Linked DNA regions of Caenorhabditis elegans. The protein of the gene in region 2 purifies or fractionates together with the protein of the main gene of each other region. This does not show direct contact. Each region holds a gene or a part of one and is shown on either strand. Other genes may lie near its edges.

Region 1 (10,149 bases), 1.7 Mb from region 2:
TTCTTGATTTTTCGCCCAAAATTAGGCTTAGGCTTAAGTTTAGGCTTCGGCTTTGGCATAATCTTAAATTTAGGATTAGGCTTAGGCTTAGGCTTAGGCTTAGGCTTAATTTTGGCTTAGGATTAGGCTTCGATCTAGGTTTAGGCTTAAGCTTAGGCTTAGACGTAGGCTTAGGCTTAGACTTAGGCTTAGACTCCGATTTTTAAGATTTTGTTTTTAGGCTTAGACTCTGGTTTTGTTTTTAGGCTTAGACTCTGGTTCTTCGTTTTTTTTTTTTGGAATTTTTGTGAAAACTAGTTTTTTTCAGTTTTCAAATAAAAAAATGTATAATTTAGTGGTTGACAAAATTCTATTCCAATTTTTTTTGGGTTTAGCAAAAGTTTTTAATCGTTTAATCATAAAACCGGATGCATATTCATCATACAGCTGTACAGGTCGTACGGCTCAAACCGAGTGAGTCAATGGTGCAAAGGTTGACATCATTTACTTAATTTCTTGATTCAACTAGAGTAAATAAACGGAAACTTTGAGTAGATTGCCATGTGAGGAGAATCACAGGGTTTTTGAGTGTTCTGGTGATCGGAAGAGACCAGAATGAGATCGGAACATATTCTTTTTATTTTATTTTTTTGCAGTGTCTTCTATTAGTTTTGCTCCAAATTAAGCAAAAAAAACGAAAAATGTTTCAGAAAACAAACAGAAAAACAGAAAAACAAAAAAACTAAAAAAATAGTTCCTCAATTTGCAGACCGGAAATGCTCTTTTCTTTTCCGCCCCCAAACTGTATGCCATTCCTCTCCTCCTCCTCCTCCTCTTTCATTCCATCTTATCATTTCATTTTTCTTCCCCCACTGCTCCTCCTACAATCACCAGTTGATCAAAAAAGTCTTAAAACTACAAATTGTTTGTATGTAATAGTAATATACTTACCACCCCCAGTTCTATTTTTACATTTTTTTTCCACTTTAAGTATCTATTAATTTTTCTTTGTTCCATTTTTGCTCCTGTAAAAATTTCACCGGAAATGCATTCTCGCTCCACTGAACTAGCGATTTCCGGCGTTTTTGTTCAGTTTTCTATTAATGTATGCGAACTTAACATAGACATTAAAAAAAAAGCGAAAAAATCTGCCGAAATCAACTGAGACCTCACAAATCTCGAAGACAATAAAATTGGGGATGTAGATTTCCAAAATGTTGTCCTTGTCTATTATTGATTTTGTTAAAGTTTTGGGCATCAAATTGCTTTATATTAATTTTTCATTGTATGCTGTAAATTTTTCAAGAATTTAAGTACAAAAACTATGCCACTCACCTTAACTCCGCCCCATTTTTTCGCGAATCAGCGTCTCCCAAATAACCAATTTCTCTAATCTATGTGGCCTCATTTTTGACAACTTCAGTTTTTAACGCTTCTACTAATTTTTAAAATATATTTTGATTTTCTAAAGGCATTTCCAAACATTTAAAAATTATGCGACCCTTCTTTGAACGATTCAAACTTGCAAAATAAGAGGCGGAGCCGATTACTGTAACGAGCAACTTTGTTTTTTCCCCCTGGAATTCCAGAAAACTGATTATTTTGTTTACGCTACAAATTGCAAGCCTTACACTTTTTTTTATCTATCACCATCCCGCGAATTCATAATATTTTGCATTTTTCTCAACTTTTTGAATTTTCAAACTTTGCTCGTCAAGTCTGGTGTTTTTGAACTTTCCGCATTTCTCATAATATCCTTAAGTTTGTGTACCCGTGGCGCAGTCGGTAACGACTTCGCCTTTTGGTCGAATGTTCCGTGGTTCAAACCCCAGTGACGTCCTAAAACTATAATCCCTTCTTGCAGCTCTTTTGTTTCTTGTAGAACTTCCCAAAATACATTGCAATATACCTTGATGTCTCTCCAAAAATCACCCATCTCCACCCCCTCATTATTCCTGCGTCTCTCGGGAATTCTCACTTTCTCTCTGTCTCTCTTTGACTTGCTTAACTGATAACACATCCGGCGGTCTTTTTCTCTTCTTAAAACGTCGGTTTTAAGAGAAAGAAAAGACTGTTTCCGGAAATCTATCAAACATTCTTCTTATCATCATTGTCCCATTTTTCTTTTAAGCACTCGTTTTTCTAGATTTTTATGAAAAAAATTATTATTTTTCTAATTTTTCAGCCCTAAAAAATTCAAAATTCCACCAACACGTTTTATCACAAATCTTTCACGCACAAATGCAGAACGAGAGTTCACAAGATGCATCAGTACCGCCAAAAATACCGCCGAGAAATCATCCGATTCATTTGAGAAATCGCCTGAAACTACAGTATATCGAACAGGCACTGTCGCCTGATATGGTAAGTATGATTCATGAAATATGAATTTTTAATTGATTTTTTTCATTACGAATGAGTCAAGAGCTCATTGATCAGTGAAATTTGTGATTTTTTAGTATTTCGGGGAGCACAAACTGATAAGCGGAGAAACATAATAAGTTATCGATTTAATTACAGGAGTCACACGCGGATGACGTAGCACCGTGTCATAGCAGAAAAGCCTCTTCAGTGGGCTTTGTGGAGATTGATGAGCTGTTGAAGTTTCAGGTGAGATTTTAGGCCAGTCAGGGCTATCCCAAAAAGTTTTTGACCAGAGTTTTTCAAAATTATTTTCCTAATATCTAAATATTTTGTTGTTTGACAAACTACACTTTTTCTGGCTCGAAATAACGAAAAAAACAAGTTCAAAAGATCTGGAGACAATATTTCAGTCAATCAAAAACTTGCGCGTGAAATCTGATGCATTGATTATTCGATGGTCCAAATTTTCCGCACAAATTCAAAAATTCAATGCACAAAAACACACGGTGTCCACGTGGAGTCAGAAATTCCCATTTCGGTTTGATCTTCAAAAAATGCGGGAGATTATCTTACCTGATTTCGCATGGTTAAGAACGTGCTGACGTCACATTCTTTTGGGCAAAAAATTCTCGCATTTTTTGTAGATCAAACTGTATTGAGACAGCCTGACATCACGTGGGTATCAGGTTGTATTTAAATCAGTTGAAAATTCTGCGTCTCTTCTCCCGCATTTTTTTTAGATCTACGTAGATCAAGCCGAAATTGGAAACTCTGGCACCACGTGCAAAAATCACTTCTCAGAACTCCAAATAAATAAAATTTTCCAGGACGACTACAAAGTTCGCTCGTCGACAGGCTTCTACTCATCTCTCCGAAATCTTTTTTCAACTGGAAACCCTTCAACAACCACAACAATCTCATCAATACCAGAATCCCATATAAATCCAATGTTCGCAAATCATGAGAAATGCTCAATTTCGAGAAGCTTCACACATCTACCGTACCCGCCGAAGAAGAAGAGGAAAAGTCACTTGAGACGCGTTTTTTCGTGCTTTTCGATTTTTAAACATTAGGATCTATTTTATTGTGTGTTTAATAGGTACTGGTGAAGTTTTGAATTTGCGCGTAAGATATGGTGCATCGTGACTGGTGCCAATGACGGCTGTCATAATTAATTCATCCCAGTGGCCGAGTAGTCAGAATGTCCCATTTCGGTTTGATCTACGAAGATCTACAAAAAATGCGGGAGTAGAGTTCTCAACTGATTTTGCATGATTAGAGGACGTGCTGCCGTCATGCAAAAATTCCCGCATTTTTTGTAGGTCAAACCGTAATGGGGCAGTCTGACACCAGTATTGCACCGAAAACTATCAAAGACACAATAATTCTGCTAATATTATTATGTTTCGATTATTTTTCAATTTGTTAAAAATTCCCTTTACTGGTTTTCCTGGCTTCTGTCATATTTTGGTTCCCCAATTCCCCTTCCTATCACGCATAATTTTATTAATTTTTTATTACATAATCTAGTCTTACCATGAATTCTCTGCTGACCAACGCAAAATCCAAACAAGTTTTTGCATAATTTTTGAATAAAATGATGATTTTTGTCTCGATAGAATTTTATTAGTATTTCTTATTTGCAGTGTAAAAAGGCACAATTAAATGATTGAATTCAATTCAATATTGAACAAAGTAAAGCATTATTTAGGCAGCACCATGAGTAGGTCAAAAAATTTTTTGGGTTGAAATGGCAATTTTAGGCTTGTTGAATTCCTTTTCTCGATACTTTCTTCTCCTTATTTCTTTTTGGTGGAACTGGAGTTGACGATGGTTCCTGACGACCGAAGAAATATCGATAGTCGTCAGTTCTGATGTGAGCCCAGACTCCGGCGGCTCCGTTGGCCTCGAATTGCTCCTAAAATCACAGAAAATTTTTAAATAAAAAATAAATAAAATATATATGTACCTCAATTCTCGGAATAAATGGATTGTGCTCCAATCTGAGCACCTGCTTTGACCCGACCAACTCCAAATTTCCGAGCTCTGGTGGAATCATAGCCAGACGATTTCCCTGAATATGAAGCTCACGGAGACGTGTCAGCTTTCCCAGCTCTTTTGGAAGAGTGAGCAAATCGTTTTCACGGAGCACGAGGATTTGCAAATTTGTAAGATTTTCGACGTCTCCGGGGAGCATTTCGAAATCATTGTCTCCGAGGTACAAGGCGCGGAGGGTTTCTGGAAATTGGGAGAGGTTTTTTCGGAGAAGGGAACACCGGATGCCCCAGATTCAGCTTTTTTAACTGATGTAGTGTACAACATCACATTTTTCTGGGCGAAACGTTCCCGCATTTATTGTAGATCAAACTTATTCCAGTCCTAACAAGAATTTAAAATTCCAATTTTTCCCCCACTTACGCATAAAGAAAAAGTTTCCAGGCAATGATCGTTCACTCAAATTGTTGTAGGTCAAATCAAGAATTTCCAGCTCTGGGAAGGATCCGAATCCACGTGGCAGAATCGACAGCTTGTTCATTCCGACGTTAAGAATTCGAAGTTTTGGAAGAGATGAAATCGATGGAGGTAGATCCTCGATTTGGTTATTCCACAAATTCAGGGACTGCAATTTTTTAAAGATTGGATTAAGAAGATTACCTTGATGTAGGGTTGGCTTACCTGAAGACTGACCAAATCCGCAATATTTGGTGGTACTGAAGTGAGCTTGTTGTGGCTCAAAGTGAGACGAGTGATGATTTCCGCATCGACTGGAATTCAATTTTTGGAAGATTTCGAAAATTTATCCCGCTTAGGCTTAAGTCTGAGCCTAAGCGTAAGCCTAAGCCTAAGCGTAAGCCTAAGCCTAACATAAGCCTAAGATTGAGCCTAAGCCTAAGCCAAATCCTGAGCCAGCGCCTGCGCCTGCGCCTACGCCTAAACCTAAGTTTAACCCTCAGCCTGAGCCTAAGCCTAGGACTAAGCCTAAGATTGAGCCTAAGCTTAAGCCCAAGCCTGAACCTAAGCCTCAGCCTAAGAAGCAACACATTTATTTTGATCTACAGACCCAATGCACCGTATTTGACGCGCAAATTCTATTTACGATTTTCCCGCGGAGGAGCTGAGCACAGAGCAACAGCTGCTGCTCCGCCAGATCAATTTCTAATGCATACGAAACCATGGAATAATTGAAGATTTGCGCGTCAAATGTGGCGCAGAGCTCAAAAAAATGCTTACTGAGATGTGAAATTTGAGAAAACGACGAAATATTCCGATCGACATGCTCAACCTCTGTCACTTCGTCTTTCTTCTTGTCCTTTGGCATTTTTACCTGAAATTTTAATTTTTTACATCCTTTTTTTGTGGATAGGAAATGGTGCTTCGCGAGTTGATAAACGATAAAATCAGTGTTAAATATGACTATTTTCATACTTTGACATGGTGCATCGACACAAAAATTTGAAGAAATAGCAATTCCAAAGATCTTTTTCACTTTCTCACTTTCTAATCCTCTATTAAATATAATTGCGGAAGAACTAGCAAAAAAATGGGAAAAAAAGGAAACACAGCTGGAATACCATTCAAGGGGATTCCAACGAGATAGTACATGAACCTGTAAAGACACAGAGACATATATTTGTTGAGAGAGGGGACGAAAGACGAAAGAAAAAGAAGAAATGACAGCGAATCGTAGGCGGAATGGACGTGTGTGGGGTGAGATGGGGGGAAAAGGAAAGTGTGTACAGCGAGAGAGTATTACACTGTTGGAGAGACGCAGGGTGCTGGAGACATTTCAGTTTGCCAAGAGAACGATGAGAAGCAGTGAAAAGTTCATTGAGCGATGGGCGGAAGGAGGATCCTCCTTGAGGAGAAGGTTACATTTTTATTGATTGATTTTTTTCGGGCCCATATTGCGATCAATTCTATTTTTTGAAAGGTTTGGGTTTTGTGTGTTTTTTCTAGATTTTCCTATTTTTTAAAGATTTTAAATTTCTAAATTTTAATCTTCGGCATCAAAAAATTTTAGATATTAGATTTACACAAATTTTTTTTTCCTTTTTTCTTATTTTTAATCTAAAAAAACAAATTTTTTCTTCAAAATGTTCGTCTTTTGGTACACCTCTAAAGGGGCACAAGTAAAATCTAAGTGATGGGTCTCGCAACGAACTACTACTAATTTTAAGTTCTTGAGGCGCGCCTTTAAGGTTACTGAAGGCAGCATTTATTGATTTTTAATTATTTTTAATCATTTTGTCTTAAGATGGCAAAAAGCGATAAGAAAAAATTCAGTAGAAAGAGAGAAAAAGGTAAACATTTCGATTGTCTCGTCGTCTTTTTTTTTTGCTTCATTTTCTCTCTTTTTTCACTTTTTAGTTTAAAAAAGCAAAAAAAAAAATTAATTTCCTTCCGTTCAGTGCCCATAAATCCGTTTATGAAACGTCATCAATATCTCTAAGCCCTCTTTTCTCTCTCACAGTATTCCAAATAAACAAAAAAAGATGTCTCTTCCTCCCTGCCAACCAACAGCCAACGTCAGTTTTTAAAATGAAATTTTTTTTTTCTAAAAATTGGCCAAAAAACCGATTTTTAGACTGAAAAAAGGCTTTAATGTCCAAAAATAATCAAAATTATCGATTTTCGACACGCTCGTAAATTAATTAGTCTTGTCAGTTGTCGTCAATTATAATGAATTACATCCCCGAGAAAAAGTAGATCAAAGACCGGTTTATCCCTCCCGACAGATACGGAATGTGTGTCCGCTTCCGATCAAAAGGTTCTCTTTTTCTTATTTTGTAGTCTGTGTGGAGGATACACTTGGTGATTAATTATTATTTATCGGCCTAAAAAATGGTTTTATATTTTTATAATACCCAGACGTGAAATTTTGCGATTTTTGCGCCCCGGGGCTCGACACGACAATTTTCTTATTAATTGCAAAAAAGGTGTACGCCTTTAAAGAGAATTTTCAACAATTTTAATTTTTTTTTTAAATAAAAATATATTTATTTAATGAAATCGAATAAATTTTTAACAATTCGTGACAAAAACTACAAAAAAATCTATGAAAATTCCGTAACTACAACAAAAGTTCAAAATTACAGTACTCTTTAAAGGCACACATTTAAAGTCACATGTATTTGAGAGAAATGTGTCGTGTCGAGACCCTGGTACCGGTACCGTAATCGCAAAATTGGGTAATAATGCTCAAAAATTTTTCAACTCTTCAGCAACATTTTTTGGTAATTTTTTAGAGAAAAAACACAATTTAGGCTAAAATCCGGAAACAACAAAAAACTGGCCGAAATTCTAATTTCACCATTTTTTGCTCTGAAAGCATTATTTTTTCACTTCTTCAAGTCATTAAATTCATGAAAAATGTGCATGGTTTCCCATCACAACCCGTCGTCTCCCAGCTGATTTTTTGTCTGTTTTCTCTCGCAATCTCTCCCCATTGAGCAATATTTTTGTAAGGCAACGTTGCATTGCCCACTTTTTTTTATTTTTTATTATATTTTCCCGTCCACGTTCTCTGTTCGTTTCATTTCTCGATTCTGTGAAGTTCAACGACGGAAACTCGCAATTTCAGAGAATGAGTGATCCGTGTGAATGTTTCTTCGATCATGAATCTGCTATGCAAAGACTTTTGGCTATGGTAAGGGAAATAATTATGGAAATATTCGGGGTTTAGCGCGAAATTTGCCAATACAATTTAAAAAAAACAAATTTTCGGCTCTCGACTCGATAAATTTGATATGAAATGCTAAAAGGTGTGCGCATTTAAAGAGTACTGTAGTTTCAAACGTTTTTCTGTTTTTATCGCTTTCTTCTGGTTCAAAAAATTATTATATTTTTGTCGAAAAACTACTAAAAATCTATGAAAATTCCGCAGCAACTAAACTTTGAAACTACAGTACCCTTTAAAGGCGCACGCCTTTTTCGCAGTTAACAAAAAAATAAAAAATTGTCGTGTCGAGACCCCGACGCACAAAATCACAACATATCGTATCTGAATACCCATTGCAAATCGTCATAAAACTCCAAAAAAAAAAAATGTTTTTGAAAAAAATCAAAATTTTGCAGCTCCGAAACTCGCAAGCGGACTGCACAGATACGGGTTGCGACAATGATGGTTTGAGTCGTGAAGGTGGCAATACAATGATGATGTGGACACTTTTATGGACATTTATGGCAATGGCACTTTACGTGATGAGACCCAATTCAATGAGATCTGATAGAAGAACCGCCGATGATGCAGCAATTGAAAAACCAACTGGAAGTTCTGATGTTAGTATTGTCAAGTTCGGATTTATCACAAGAGCGCAGAAAACCCGCTCCACGGCCAATTTTGGGTCTCGCCACGAAAAATTAAAATTTCGGGTGTGCGCCTTTAAAGTACTACGGTACTTTTTGCACAAGTATCTTAATTTTATTGTATTAGAGAGACGCAGAAAAAATCACCTGTGAAATCGATGTGAAAACACGCTCCACGGCTAAACGTAAAAGCTCCGCTCCCCAACAGTTGGGTCTCGTTAGGAATTTGGCGGGAAAACCGGATTTTCAAATTTTCAAGCAGTTTTCGTTGTTTTTAATGTATTCTCTATCCCAAATCGAAAAAAAAACAATAATTTCGGCATAAAAATCAGCGAAATTCCCAGTTTTTCCGCCAAATTCCTAACGAGACCCAACTGTTTGGGGGCGGAGCGTTTTCAATTGGCAGTGGAGCGCGTTTCTGCGTCTCTAATCTTTTTTTTTTGTGCCCGCCCGGCAATACATTGACCGGTCAATCAGTTATCAGAGACGCGAAAAAAGAAATCATCACCGGGTTTTATAGGTGTTTGTCCTACAGTCTAACTTGAATTTTTGAAAAAAAAAATTAAAAATTTTTTAGGGGATATGGAATACCCAGTTCCTTATTTTGGACTTTATTGCTAAATTGAAAAAAAAACAATTTAAAAATATTCCCTGGAATTTTTGTTTATTTTTTTAGTATTACGTGAACGCAAAATTCAGAGAATACGTATTGCACACCATATTTCACGCGCAAAATATCTCATAGCGAAAACTACAGTAGTCGTTAAAAGGATTACTGTAGTTTTCGCTACGAGATATTTTGAGCGTCAGAACTTTGTGTTTACGCAATATCAACAAAAAAAAACTAGAAAACTTTCAATTTTGGTTCATACGATAGTTTTTTTTTGTTGAAAAAATCGAAAAAAAAAAAACAAAATTTATCGATTTTCAGATTTTTAAATATAAAATTAAACTATTTCAAATTTTAAAATGTTCTAAACTTCTCCTCGGGGAGTACGCGTCCTATAAAATTTTAAAATTCCAATTTCCAGGACAACACGCCACCACCTCCACCGCCATCTGCAATGTAAATCTGAAATCCTCTACCGTCCGTCTTCTGTAACACTCTCCTCTGCCACCAACCATTCCTGTGTATAAATTGAAAAAATCCAGTTTTATTTTTGCAACTGGAATCCTCTGGGTCCTCCTCTTCTATTCATTCATATGCTTTTAATTTTCTCTCCCCTGTGCTTTGGGTATCACAATTTTCGTCTCTCTTTTTTTTTGTCAAATTTTCTGTGAAAATCGCCTACTACTAGTCCCTACCAATTTCTTGTACATTTCCGTCTCTCTGGGAATATGAATGAAGATTCGAGATTATTCGAGAGAGATAATTGTTCACACATTAAAATTAAATTAAGGAATGAGAGAAAGAGAAAGGGGGAACACGACGGAAAAAAGTGAACAGGAGCTGAAAGAAGGAAAAACATGAGAATAAAGTGAAAAATCAGAGAGAGAATA
Region 2 (13,816 bases):
GTCAGTGTTATAAAAAACAGAAAAACTCTTTGCACTCAAAATCTAATACCGTTCTCTCAAAAGATGGGAAATATTCCGAGACTAAACTTTTTCACAAAATTTTAGGCCAAAATTCAAAAATTCATGACTAAAAAATAGGGCTGCGATGAAAATCACGAAAATAAAATCGATTCGAAGAGCAAACAGTCTCTTTCAGAGCAGAAAGGGTTTGAAAAGTCAATAATAGAGGGTCATTTAATGTTTTTAGTGATTTCAAGAGAGAAGAATATGAGAAAACATGAATAACATTGATTTCCTCATATTTTTAATCAAACCAGAAATGCACCTGCCGCCTTGAAAGAAAACGGCTGATCGGCGGCGATAAAATCAGAAAAGTTTTGGTTTTTGTTAACGAAAAAAGCAATGTCAAAACGTCGATGAATTTTTTTGCTTGAAAAGAGATCTATCTGAATCAAATTCAATCGAAACTCGGCATTTTTAGGATGTGAAAATGAGGGAAATTCGGGCGGAAAATATGAGAAGACCGGCAAGAGAGTGTGTCAGATCAAGAGGGCGTAGAGAAAAAGAGACTGTCGACAGGCCCAATGAGAGACCATTCTGCGCTGAGAGGTGGTCGAGGAAACGAGAGAAAACCAGAAAACGAACATGAACAGTCCGATCCAAAAGAAGAAGAGAAGAAAATGAGTTGTGGAAATGAACAAAACGAAGTTGAAAAATAAGAGAAAACTGTAAAAAACGAACAGATCAAAACGCAACGAACGAGCAGGAGACACAGGAGAAGAAAAACACATGTGTATTGGTTTACTTTGACAGAAAAAAGAATTTGGCGCATTTTGGTCAAGATCGTCTACAAGTCCGGACGGCACGTTTTGATCTATTTGTTGTCTGGTCTCTCTTGCAGTTTGCGCACTGAGAGGAAACGCACCTCATTGCGGGAAATGACGTAACCCATTGCAGTGTTCAGCAGTTTCTTTCGAATTCAACGGAAATTACAACGAAAAGTATTATTTCGTTTGAGAAGTCAAACAATTTTCAATACAAAAACGAGAAAAACATTCGCGCGATGATCAAAATAGAAAAAACCGGTAAAAAATTCATTAAAAAGTAGAAGGTGGAAATGCGCTCCATCGCGAATTTCTCCGCCGCTAAATTCAAAAAAGATAATAACTTCCTCGAAATTAACATTTAATTGAGCTTAAACTCGCTTGATCAAAGCTGGAAACGATAATTTAATTTAATTTTCAAATTATTGGCCAACATTTTGAAATATTGCATAAAAAATAATGAGATACTTTTCCTCAAATGCATTAAAAAATTAATTCATCGTCTGTTCGCAAAAACTTGAAACTGGCTGCTAGAAGTTTTATAAAAGTTTTAATATTTATAGTAAATTCAGGCTTATCTGTAGAGTTTAAGATATACACGTTCATAAACGTATTATTCAATTTAAAAAATCGTAAAATGGTGGTAAATTTTTACGAATTAACAATTTTCTGAACAGTGTTGAATTAGAATTTAGTGAAGTTTTTCCCAGATAAAAACAGAATTTAGTTGTCCTTGGCAGCCAATGGTGAATTTTTTTGTAATCAGGGAATCAAACAGTTGATAACGAAACATGCCAACTTGTACAGCACGAACATGATCCAAGAAAAGTGATTAGAGACTGAATGGGCGAAAAATCGAGAGCATTCGAGACGTAGACATCAGAAGAAAACTGATCGGTTGCTTCTCTCACACAATTTTGCCGAGTAAACACATTCATCCCCGGGTGCCCGGGCTCCCGATTGTTTCGTACACTTTCTAGACCCTCTCACGGTTTCCTAATGTCTTGTTGCTTTACTATGCGAAAGTGAAAAAAAAAAGAAAGAGTGGGATGTGGAGAGACGTTGGCAACTGGATTTTTAGGGACTTTTGAGACAAAAAAATCATGGGGAAAGTTTCATTATGAAAAAAAAATTGGGTGGGAAGACTGTTGGTGATAGTGTCCAAAATGGACCCGTTAATGGTGCAGAATTGTTTGGATCACAAATAACACAACAGAAAACGAACAGAAAAAGTACAACAACTCAAATGTGATTCCTAGATTTAGGAAGATTCTTTTTAAATTATAATTCAGAGAATTTGAAAAAAGAAAAACAAAAAAAAACACGGATCCTAAAACATTTTGGGAGTAGGGAAGAACGCTGGAAGGCACATGATAAATGATTAACTAGGGGAACGATGAAAGCAAGAAAAAAATTATAAAGATGATTATAGTGGGGGAATGGGGAAATAGAACTAGAATATTCTTCTGGATATATACGTATGTATACACATTCAGAATAGTTTTCGTGGGGGTGAAAATCCAGTTTGTTGTGTGAAGTGAATGGGTGGAGAGAATTTATTTGTTGTACGAGCGATGATAGTATGTCTGAAAATATTTTTATGTTATGAACGTAGAAACTTGCTGAATAAAAGCCAACAAGAGTGTTAAACTTAAAAAAATATTAATTAATACCCTTTTGTGATAAGTCAGACGATCGCCACCTTCCTCTCCATTTTTGAATCCTCTTCCACTATCATTTGATCGGTATGATGAGTTTGTCGAGTTTGATCCAAATCGCTTCCGGGCTTCTTTTCTGAAAATTGTTCATTAATAAAATTCTACTTCTGCTTTAACATACGCCAGGGCTCTTTGCGGACACGATTCTACAAAATGTCCTATCCTATGACATTGATGACATTGACGATCAGTTGGAGCGGATCCTTGATTGCATTTTCGAAGTAACTGGTGTTGATATGATGATAGGAAAGTGTGATCTCGATTCATCGGTGGTTTCTCAGACATGAAGACTGCTCGTGAGTTGATGAACACTTTCATAATGAATACGAACACTGAAAAAACAAAAATATCAGTTTCATTTTGAAATGCTCAAAAATGTCTAAAAGTCAGGAATAAAAATCTAACTTTAAAAACAAGACTTAATAATTTTATAAGATTACTTTTGAACTTCCTTAAAAATGAGAACTACGATTAATTAGCGACTCGCTCCGCCCACTTTTGAACCAATCAGACGGAATGGGTGGAGTTCGAAGGCGCTGATTTGTCGTGCAGTTCTCATTTTGGAGGAAATTCAAACAGGAAGATTGAACATTTTTTTAAACTAATATACATCATCTGATTCTGAACATCTGAACATCTGATATAAATCAATTGGCAACATACTTTTCTTGTTAACACCGCTGCTCAGATTATGGCTCAAATCGAATGGATCCTCTACACAAAGAGGTCTCGGCCACTCTTTTTCCATTTTCGACAATATCATTTCCCGTCGACATTGAACAACAAAATTCCGGAAATCAAAACGCGAATAATAGTCAAAGTATCCAATGAGCAGCTGAGCACACGATTCTTTGTTTTTAGGCCAACGTTGTAGCAAACTGGTCTCAACTTGAGCAAATGACGTATCCCAGTTGTCAACGAGTCGTCTTTCCCGATTATCACTTCGAAAATCTTCTTGAAGGCGTGGAAGAACCGGTGGATCACAGTTTTGAAGATAAGAAATGAGCATGATGACGTGACAATATGAGCTCAATGATCCACGTGATGCATCTCCGATTTCACAATTTTTGGCCCACTGGAAATTAGAGGATGAAATTTTCAAAAGAATAAGAAAAACTAGCTACAGTCTTCACAAAGAGAGCCAATTTAGCAAAACGTTTGTCAGGCGTCCACAATGAATATTCTTTCAGAAGAGCTGTGTTGTAGATTGCCAATATATTGTAGTAGGAGATACTGAAATTTAGAATAATTTCAGATAATGACAATTATCTTTCATCCACTTATTTTCTATATTCCTAGTAGTTAAAAAATCAATTTTTTTCTAAACTCTTATATATGTGAAAATCGTAAACCTCTGAGATGGTCTCGTGTCGATTTACGCAGCTCGTGTACTCCCCTTGCACGTGGTGTCAGGCTGTCCCATTACGGTTTGACCTACAAAAAATGCGGCAATTTTTTCCCCAAAAAAATGTGACGTCAGCAGGTTCTTAACCATGCGAAACCAGTTGAGAACTCTGCGTCTCTTCTCCCGCATTTTTTGTAGATCTACGTAGATCAAACCAAAATGGGACAGCCTGACACCACGTGCCCTTGGAGTAGTGTACATTGTTTTTTTTTTGGGATTTTACAGTTATTGACTATGATTCTTTTTCAACTAAACACTATAACTACGAGTCAAAATTTTTTCGAGATTTTATATTTTAAAAATTCTGTTCATTTTGAAAAATTAAATCTTCTAAACTTACTCGACATCAATAATTGCTCCATTGGAAAGTTTCACTTGAAACTTGACAATTGGCACTTTTGCAGTGACAATTGCTTGAACTCTCTTTACCAAATGACATTTTCTGAGAACGGATTCAGTTTTCTGAATAACTTCTTTTGCTGTCAAATCCTTTGGCGGAACATCTCCATCTCCGAATCTCAAACAAATATCAATATCTGAACAATTGACACTTAATCCTGTCATAACACTTCCAAATGTTGTAAGAGTGACATCTTCACGATAGTTTTTCCTTAAAAATGATTGAAGTTCATCAATCTTGTGATCCAACATTTTGAGCCGTCGTTCATCAAGAATATTCTCATGATAATATTTATCAATCATATCATCAATATCTTTCAAATCTTCGGGAGTTCTTGCTTGATATTTTTTAATCGGTGGAATTTCCATCATCGGGCAGTTTTCAACACAATGACTACCATCACAATGTGTACATTTCATTTCCATTTCAAAGTCTCCACAGAAAAGATCAGTTGAGAATTCATAATGAAAATCTGATGGTTTTAGACTTTTCGATTTGGATACAATATCCTTCAAATTCGAATTCAATTTAATGAAAAACTCTTCACTGCAGAATTGCTTATCGGGGATTACTGTGGATATCGTAGATTTCCCAAATGTCGCATTTTGTTTCACAGGTTTCTGAACAATTGGAGTTTTCATTGGAGATTCAGTTTCATCGAAACTGGATTCCATCATAGATTCATTCATTAGAGATTCTTGTGGTGCTTCTATGAGATCACATTGAGGTTGAGCAACATTTTTTATCTTCACTGGTGCTTCATTTGATAATTTCGTGATGGGTTCCGGCTTGATTTCCTAAAAATTGAGTAAAAATTAGTTTAAAAAAATCAAAAGTTACTTGTCAGTGATTAATTAAAATTTCAAAATCTGAAATTACCGTGGAAACAGGCATGGATGTTACTGCAACGTCAATATTCTTTTGAGAAGAAATCTTGAGGGTTTCCTCCAATTTTTCTGCAATTTCGGACACATTACTATCAGCTGCTTTCGTCTTTTCGTCTATTTCAGAAGAATCTTCCGATAAAATGATGACGTTCGCCTTCTTCCACCGATTGATGAATTTCTTTCCTTTTTTCGTCACAAAACTCAATCCATCCATTGATGCTGCCATTTTTCCATTTAGTCCTGGTTTGAGAACTCTCTTGAATCGCAAAAGTGAATTTCTACCATAAACACATTCTCGATGATCATCAGTGTGATAATCAATTGGTTTTCGTTCATTCACTAAGATTCCATCAATCATCAGACGTTCCTTGAGCTCTTTCATATATTTTAGATGATCTTTATCATTTACAATCTCATATACAGGTTCTTGATAATGTTCTTCCATTATTTGAGTCAATGGAATGGGTGCCTCCACCGTTGCCTTTTTTGGAGTATCCTTGAACTTTTTTCCAGGTTTGATAGTTTTCTGGAATAATAGATATAAAAACATCAAACAAAAAAGAAACCAAACTTACATTATGAACAAACGAAACTTCAATTAATGGTCCATTCTTGGTTCTTGGAATCGAAAACGATACAAATGATGTTAGGAGACAATTGAAAAAGAATGGTTGCCAAGTAGAAACCTTTGGTATTGAAAGAACATTGTCACCACGGAATGGATCAACAACATGAAGAATCTTTTTATTCCAACGGCTCACATCTCGACTCATTGGAATAAGCTGTGTAATTTGGATGACTACGTCCCGATGTCGTTCAACATAATACCGAAAGAAGCCAATGAAGAGCTCAGCTAGATTCCAAGATTTCTTCAAGTCGAACTTCGTACCAATCTTTTCAGTATTCTTCTCATATCGAGACATCAATCTCATTCTACGTTGCCCAGCTTCTTCCGATTGAAGTTTTGCTGTCTTTTCAGCACTCATTTCTTCAATTTTCTCAGTTTCTGGACCTGCTTCAAAAAGTTCATGAAGTACTGGAAGGCATCCGATCTGCTGAAGAAAATGAATGGCCATTATATCAAATCCATATCGAGGAAGTCCGATTCTAGGCTTATTTTTGGAGTCAAGGCCAGCTTTCGTTGCCCAAAGACGAATAAGTTGAAGAAATTGAGCAACTTCCTCTCGTAAATTTACATAGGTCTTCATCAATTCAGAAAAATGAAGTTGTATACGATGATTGAAACATGACATCCAACAAAGTTTAACTCGAACTCCTTTGAATGTAAATATAATTGTTGACGGTGTTCCCATTTCCATGGAATGATCAGCTGGATGTCCATCATCGGCAATCTTCTTTCGAACTTGTTCAAGTAATGCAAATATTGGAGTTCCTTCAGGAATTGACATAGTATATGCCACATTGTAATCACTATCCGGAAGTGTGACGTCATATGTTACAGATCCAAATGGTCGAAGTATCACATCTTGCAATCCAATCGATGGGAATACTGTAGTACTCAAGTAATAGATGATTGTTTCACCGATCTCGATTCCATTTTGACGAACCTGAAAATACTTGACGAGAGAAGGGTTAGTTGAGAGAAAAATGATCGAAACCGGATAGAAAAAACGAAATTTTATTTCTGAATTTCAGCTTTTTAGAGAAAAATCACAATTTATCCTCCGTTAATTTCGTTTTTTTCCAATCCAGTTTCAAGATAATCTAACCTGTTGATACGATTTCAATGTTCCTTCCAAAACTTTTTCAACACTCTCTAAATGTGCTTCAGTCGGAGGTGGAATAATTTTCAAAAGATGCTCCCGTTGTTCCTGTCGCTTAACATCATCAAAATGTGTACTGCTCTCTAAGTGTGCTTTTGCGTGTCCGATTGTATTAATATGATAATCGCACTTTTCGCAATAGTATATGGCCTCTGGGAACGCTTCTAGACGATCGACAAGTTTCTTGATCAAACAAGAAGTCAGAAATCCCTCAGAACACTTTGAGAATGGAAATCTGTCGGATGAAGACTTTGCTGAAACTGTTGAGAAACAGTGAAATGAAATCGGAAAACTCAGTTCAAACCTTTCAAGAGATTCTCAATAGTTTCCCTGCAAGATTTTCTGATCGTCTTTTCATCTGCATCCAATTTCAACAGAGCTCCAGTTGTGATATTGTCATCTCCATGTTGTAATTTTACTTTGATGAATAGTCCATTGCACTTGCTCGTAGTTGGAGTAATCAACAGCTAAAAACTTGACTTTTAAAAATTAATTTCATACATTTTTTTGCTATTTTAAAGTTTAAAGTACGAATTTTGTTCTATTGGAATACAGCGAATGATTTTAATTTTTTATTCACAACTAACCGTAAAATTGTTATCAATTTGAATAGGTACATTCTTTTCCAACGGAAATGAGCTCATTGGATACTGGACAGTCTCTTGAAATGTTTGAGCCGACACGGCTGACCCGGCATTTTTGGAGAAATAATACTCTTGCGTCTGTTTTTTGTTGGCTTCTGCTTGTCGTCCAGCAACATTAATCGTTGTTTTCTCTGGAGTAGTAGGATTTGAATTCCATCCTTTCAATGAAGCTCCCGAATCGCCCAATTCAACAGCCATCAATGGTTGTACAGCGGCAACCAAGGGTCCTGGTGGCGCATTCCGATTTATTGGAGATGTTGGCTGAGAATCCTGATTTCGTTTCAGAATTGTGACTTTTTGAGGAACGATGTTCATTGGAGGACGATTTTGCGATGGATTTCTGCTCGTCTTTTGGGAGGAGGAAGCCGAATCAGCTGGACTGTTTGATGATCTTTTCCGGCCTGTAAGTTCAATGTTAGTTCAATATGAAAATTAAGAAAAAATGAAGAACACTCTGTTCGAAAATTGCTATAAAGTTTTCACTTTGTTTGATAAGAAAGTTGATAAATAAATAAAAGTGGCGTTTCTGCTAAAACTGTTCAATAACTTCAGGATTGATAAGGAAAAAGTTATAGTAGAGAGTGAATCAACGGTATTTTTGAATACTAAGAACAGTAAAACCTCAATCTTTAAGCAATACGAAGGGCCTAATATACTTCATTGTATGAATTTTTAAAAATGATTAGTCATGAACTCACCACTATTCTGGCTATTTCCTCCCCTTCCACCTCCAAGGGCTCCTCCTCTCCGCCTACTTCCAGACCTTTGCTCATCGGTCATCTCACAACTCTTTTTAATAATTACAGTACAATATTAATACCTATTATTCGGTTCGTCTTTCCCAATGAAACTGAAAAGAAGCGATTGAATAAAATCTGGAATAATTTGAGAACAAAATATTAAATTAGGTAATAACGAGGTCAGTACCTCGGAAATGAATTCCATAATTAAAAAAAATGGTATGCCAAATCGAGTTTTATTTACAGATAAATATGGTGTAGAATAGGGAATTCAAGGATTTGCAGGCATATTTGCTGCTGCATGGACAGCGTTCACATGACGTTGATCTTCACGAGTCAGAATAGCCACACTGTCTTGCAAGTGACGCAGAAGATCTTGATTATCCTGCAATAAATTTAGAATGAACAACAATGTACTTTTTCAGAAAAGTGTGATTTTGAAATAAAAACGTACCCATTGAGCTTGACGGTGCTCACAAATCGTGGTGATGAATGACTCTTTTGCTGGTGAGACTTCGGAAACCCACAAGTGCTCGGACCAGTTGAGTGGAGGTTGTGCTACGTGGAATGGGTACATCAAAGCCATACTTGATCTGTAAACGTGGTTTTTTGAATCAAAGTCATCTAAAAAACGGGCAAAAGTAAAATGAAGGTTGTTTCAGCCTATAATAATAAGAGATGTAAAAAGCAATGTATGAAAAAAAATAACCGTTTTATTTAACAACAAAAAAACACGATGTAACTGACACAACTTAAACAACCCGAAATTTGATCAAACTCCCGCTGAGATTTTAATTAATTCTTCAAAACGTGTCCGACGAATGGATATTTCCTAGCACAAATCGGTGCCCATTCAGGTCCACATCCTTCACTACTCTCGAAAAGATCGCGGTTGTTGTCATAGAGATCTTGTGAGCCAGAGAGGTCGTAAATCTGAAATAAACTTATTTTTTTGATAATCCGAAAAGTATTTTATTACTTTGTCTTCCACAATGACCAGGCACCTGTTCTCCTCGCGGCGCATGCTTTCGATTTCTTCCATTGTCATATCACGCTCTTCGAGCTGTTCGATCTGAGAAACAAAAATTCACATCCCAAGATTTATTTGCAAATTACCTCATATTTCGCTGGCTCATTGATTTTTGCAACAAGCATCCTTTTAACAATTTTATTCAAAGCCACGAGAAACACCACAAACACCGCAACATCGATGAAAGTGAGCTCATATTCCCCGATTTGCATTTTTTGGGAAGAAAATTCAAATCCAAATTATTTTTTCAAATCGTTTTTATTCCCCAGTCTCATGGCCGACATTTCTTCGGCCCCGCCCGGAAAAGCTGCAGCAAGTACGCTCCACTGCAGTTTTTCGAATTCTCATTGCATGGAATTCCTGAGACACCACGGTTTCAAGATCTGGTGGGATTCTCCGTTTTCCGGATCTACCATATCCGGATCTACGTTTTCCGGATCTACGTTTTCCGGATCTGGCACCGTGCCAACTCTTAAAACGCTATTTTTTCGAAGAAAAAAGTGACAACGACGCTGCGATGTTACGCGTCGCGTGTTCTTAAGCGTTTCTTCTAGAAGAAAATTTCGAAAAAAGTCGTGCGTTGAAAAGCGTTTTGTGCGTTGGCACGGTGCCAGATCCGGAAAACGTAGATCCGGAAAACGTAGATCCGGAAATGGTAGATCCGGAAAACGTAGATCCGGGATCCCATCAGATCTTGAAACCGTGGTGTCTCGAATTCCTTTGACTTGAAAACTTGCATTTTTTCATGAAAAACTGGTTAAAATTCTAGATTTTCTTTTAAAGACAAGTTTAAAACATTTGATCCAATGCGCCGTTCGATTAGTCACTAGCCAGAGTACGTATTTATTGACCACTCGTTCGATAAATGTAATTATCCTACAAAATTCGCATTGAAACTTTCTTCGTTTATGTCCCACGTCAATCAAGCGGTTTCGTGTATATTTTGCTACTTTCAGGAGATGTCTTTCGTGTGCGGAATCAGTGGTGAACTGACCGAAGACCCAGTCGTCTCTCAAGTCTCAGGGCACATCTTTGATCGTCGGCTGATCGTTAAATTCATTGCCGAAAACGGAACAGATCCGATCAGCCATGGAGAGCTTTCTGAAGACCAGGTTTGTCAACCTTGCAATTATCTTCACTGACGTGAAACTTCGAAATGATAATTCATTGAAAAAACAAAATAATAATTTCTAAAATTCATTTTTTAGCTCGTTTCATTGAAAAGTGGCGGCACTGGATCAGCACCACGCAATGTCTCTGGAACATCCATCCCATCTCTACTAAAAATGCTTCAAGACGAGTGGGATACAGTAATGCTCAACAGCTTCTCTCTCCGACAACAACTCCAAATTGCTCGTCAAGAACTTTCTCACTCTCTGTACCAACACGATGCCGCTTGTCGTGTTATTTCCCGCCTCTCCAAAGAATTGACCGCTGCTAGAGAAGCATTGTCTACTTTGAAACCACACACATCGGCGAAAGTTGACGATGATGTCAGCATTGACGAGTCTGAAGATCAACAAGGTCTTAGTGAGGCAATTCTGGCAAAACTTGAAGAGAAATCAAAGAGTCTGACTGCTGAACGTAAACAACGAGGAAAAAATCTTCCTGAAGGACTTGCCAAAACAGAAGAGCTCGCCGAGCTGAAACAGACAGCATCTCACACTGGAATTCATTCGACTGGAACTCCTGGAATTACTGCATTGGATATCAAGGGAAATTTGTCACTTACCGGAGGAATTGATAAAACCGTTGTCTTGTATGACTATGAAAAGGAACAGGTTATGCAAACATTCAAGGGGCATAACAAGAAGATCAACGCAGTTGTTTTGCATCCGGATAATATTACTGCAATCTCTGCTTCTGCTGATTCACATATTAGAGTCTGGAGTGCAACTGATTCGTCTTCGAAGGCTATTATTGATGTCCATCAGGCACCCGTTACAGGTGAGATATTTGAAAAAAATTCGCTAGCTGTAATTCTTCTATTGAACAAACAATGTTTTACAGATATCTCCCTCAATGCATCCGGTGATTACATTCTCTCCGCTTCTGATGATTCTTACTGGGCATTCTCCGACATTCGTTCCGGAAAATCGCTTTGCAAGGTTTCAGTTGAACCAGGATCACAAATTGCCGTTCATTCCATCGAGTTCCATCCTGATGGTCTTATTTTTGGAACTGGAGCTGCGGATGCCGTTGTGAAGATTTGGGATTTGAAGAATCAAACCGTGGCTGCTGCATTCCCGGGACATACTGCTGCCGTTCGTTCGATTGCGTTTTCTGAAAACGGATATTATTTGGCTACGGGATCAGAGGATGGAGAGGTCAAATTATGGGATCTTAGAAAATTGAAGAATCTGAAAACTTTCGCTAACGAAGAGAAACAACCGGTAAGAAATTGTTAAGCAAATGTTTAATGAAAAAATATAATTTTTTCAGATCAACTCCCTGTCCTTCGACATGACTGGAACATTCCTAGGAATTGGTGGCCAAAAAGTTCAAGTTTTGCATGTGAAGAGCTGGAGTGAAGTTGTATCACTTTCTGATCATTCTGGACCAGTCACTGGAGTTAGATTCGGAGAAAATGCTCGTTCATTGGTGACGTGTTCATTGGATAAGAGTCTCCGAGTATTCTCTTTCTAATTGTTTTTATTACCATTTATTACTAAGTTATTCAAAATTTCACCACATTTTTCCCGTTTCGTTTCCTTGTTTTTTTTGTATTCCGGATTGTTCAGTCAAGTTGAAAATATTCCCATCTATAGAAAAGCTGACAAACTATTATTCTTTCTCCATCTCTCGTTACCATATATTATCGATTCCAAAAATTCTCCTTTTCACTGTGAATCAACAAAAAAAAAAGAGTTGATTGGCTGTCTTCCTGTGGTGAGATCTCTTTCTATTTTTATCTATTGGATTTTATTTTGTTCACATTTATCTTTTTAACAGTTCAACTTTTCTCCAGATTCCCCAAATTTTATTCATTTCATTCAAAAATGATCTGCAGCCAATCTCCTCCGCTTCTATCCCATTCATCTATTCTTTTATTAAAAGTAATTTATGCAATAATTGAATGATTACGTACTGCCTAGAGGTTAATTGCCTTCTTTATTTTGGCTGAAAAACTTAAAATGTTGCCCTTTGTGATAGTATTTACTATAGCAAAAATCTTTTAAAGCAGCTAAAAACTATATTTCAGGATAGCTACTTGAATCTGGAACATCAAAAATAGACGATATTCGATTGAAAGAGAAACGGAATGTCACGTAGGTCTGATTTATCAGACAAAGACTCTCAATGTAGGAGAAGTGAATGAAAAATAAGCTGAAATTAATTAAAATATTTAGCAAGAAAACGACATTGGTTAACCGATCAAGCTGTTACAAACGAAGAAAAAGAGCAGTCGCCAACAAAAAGAACCAGAAAAACGAAATCTCAAGGATTGGGTGGTGAGTGAATCCTTTTCCTTGATCCATAAAAGTATAAATTTGAAATAGCGATCTTCAACATTTCAGGGCTTTTCAATACCTTCTTCGGAATGTTCGTAAGCAGTAATTCGGGAGAAAAGGAGAAAACTGAAGTTTCGGGCGAAGTTCAAGTTCAAGAGGATGATGAAATTATAGTGGAAGGAACGACGAGGAGAGTTGCTGAGGTATATTTTGAGAATAAATTAACTTTCGGAGTTAAGTTCAGCAAATACCGTATATTCTCTATTAGTGCTGCATGCAGCACTAATTTCCAGGCCCTTTTTTAATGCAGCACTATTAGAGACTGCAGTACTACTGGAGACTGCAGCATTAATTTTCGAACGGCTATTTTCAATTATAGATCACTAGTTTTTAATCACAAAACCTCATATTTTAAGCAGAAATTCATAAAAATTGCGAACTTTTGTAAAAAAAAGACCCAATAATTCAATTACTTTCCTAAATTATCAAAAAATCATAAAATATACAAAAAAATACCCAAAAATATCGAAACTGTCAAGTGACTCTTTCAATAGAAAATGGGGTGCAGCACTAATAGAGACTGCAGCACTATTTTTCGGACCCTTTTTGAATGCAGCACTATTAGAGACTGCAGTACTACTGGAGATGCAGCACTAATAGAGAATATACGGTATATAAACCCCCCCCCCCCCCCCCCTAACTAAACATGACCACAGTTGTTACAGAACAAGAAATATATGATTTTTCTGAACGAAGATGCACCTGTGAGAGCCAATGCTGGATCAGAGGAAAATGAAGTTATCATTGAGAAACATGTTCAAAAAAACGTTGAAATTCGGAATGACGAAGAAAAACAAGAAGTTCAAGGAGATTTAGTGCTCACCTTATCATCTTCCCCAAAGTCGCCAAAAAATTTGGAAAAGTCATTTGAA

What was found.
Region 1: the proteins of cid-1 (region 2) and rsu-1 fractionate together in Caenorhabditis elegans (co-fractionation; one large-scale study listed by BioGRID). This does not show direct contact.

The regions. Positions count from the first base shown.
Region 1 is NC_003281.10:3,467,522-3,477,670, reverse strand, and holds rsu-1 (Ras suppressor protein 1), read right to left. Parts: upstream 5,669-10,149; 5' UTR 5,663-5,668; coding exon 5,575-5,662; intron 5,109-5,574; coding exon 5,020-5,108; intron 4,964-5,019; coding exon 4,762-4,963; intron 4,582-4,761; coding exon 4,313-4,581; intron 4,262-4,312; coding exon 4,103-4,261; 3' UTR 3,952-4,102; downstream 1-3,951. Other genes in the region: C34C12.9 (uncharacterized protein), read left to right, coding at 2,221-2,343, 2,500-2,589, 3,171-3,416; smim-14 (Small integral membrane protein 14), read left to right, coding at 7,928-7,990, 8,419-8,622, 9,681-9,719.
Region 2 is NC_003281.10:5,168,618-5,182,433, reverse strand, and holds cid-1 (4Fe-4S ferredoxin-type domain-containing protein), read right to left. Parts: upstream 8,513-13,816; 5' UTR 8,443-8,512; coding exon 8,361-8,442; intron 8,064-8,360; coding exon 7,606-8,063; intron 7,486-7,605; coding exon 7,323-7,485; intron 7,273-7,322; coding exon 6,965-7,272; intron 6,803-6,964; coding exon 5,810-6,802; intron 5,761-5,809; coding exon 5,227-5,760; intron 5,145-5,226; coding exon 4,288-5,144; intron 3,776-4,287; coding exon 3,667-3,775; intron 3,618-3,666; coding exon 3,206-3,617; intron 2,875-3,205; coding exon 2,664-2,874; intron 2,619-2,663; coding exon 2,498-2,618; intron 2,411-2,497; coding exon 2,381-2,410; 3' UTR 1,927-2,380; downstream 1-1,926. Other genes in the region: Anaphase-promoting complex subunit emb-1, read right to left, coding at 8,674-8,787, 8,857-8,988; K10D2.5 (uncharacterized protein), read right to left, coding at 9,198-9,335, 9,382-9,474, 9,519-9,644; prp-19 (Pre-mRNA-processing factor 19), read left to right, coding at 10,392-10,544, 10,641-11,379, 11,443-11,825, 11,875-12,078; ulp-1 (Sentrin-specific protease), read left to right, coding at 12,695-12,734, 12,783-12,884, 12,951-13,087, 13,610-13,816.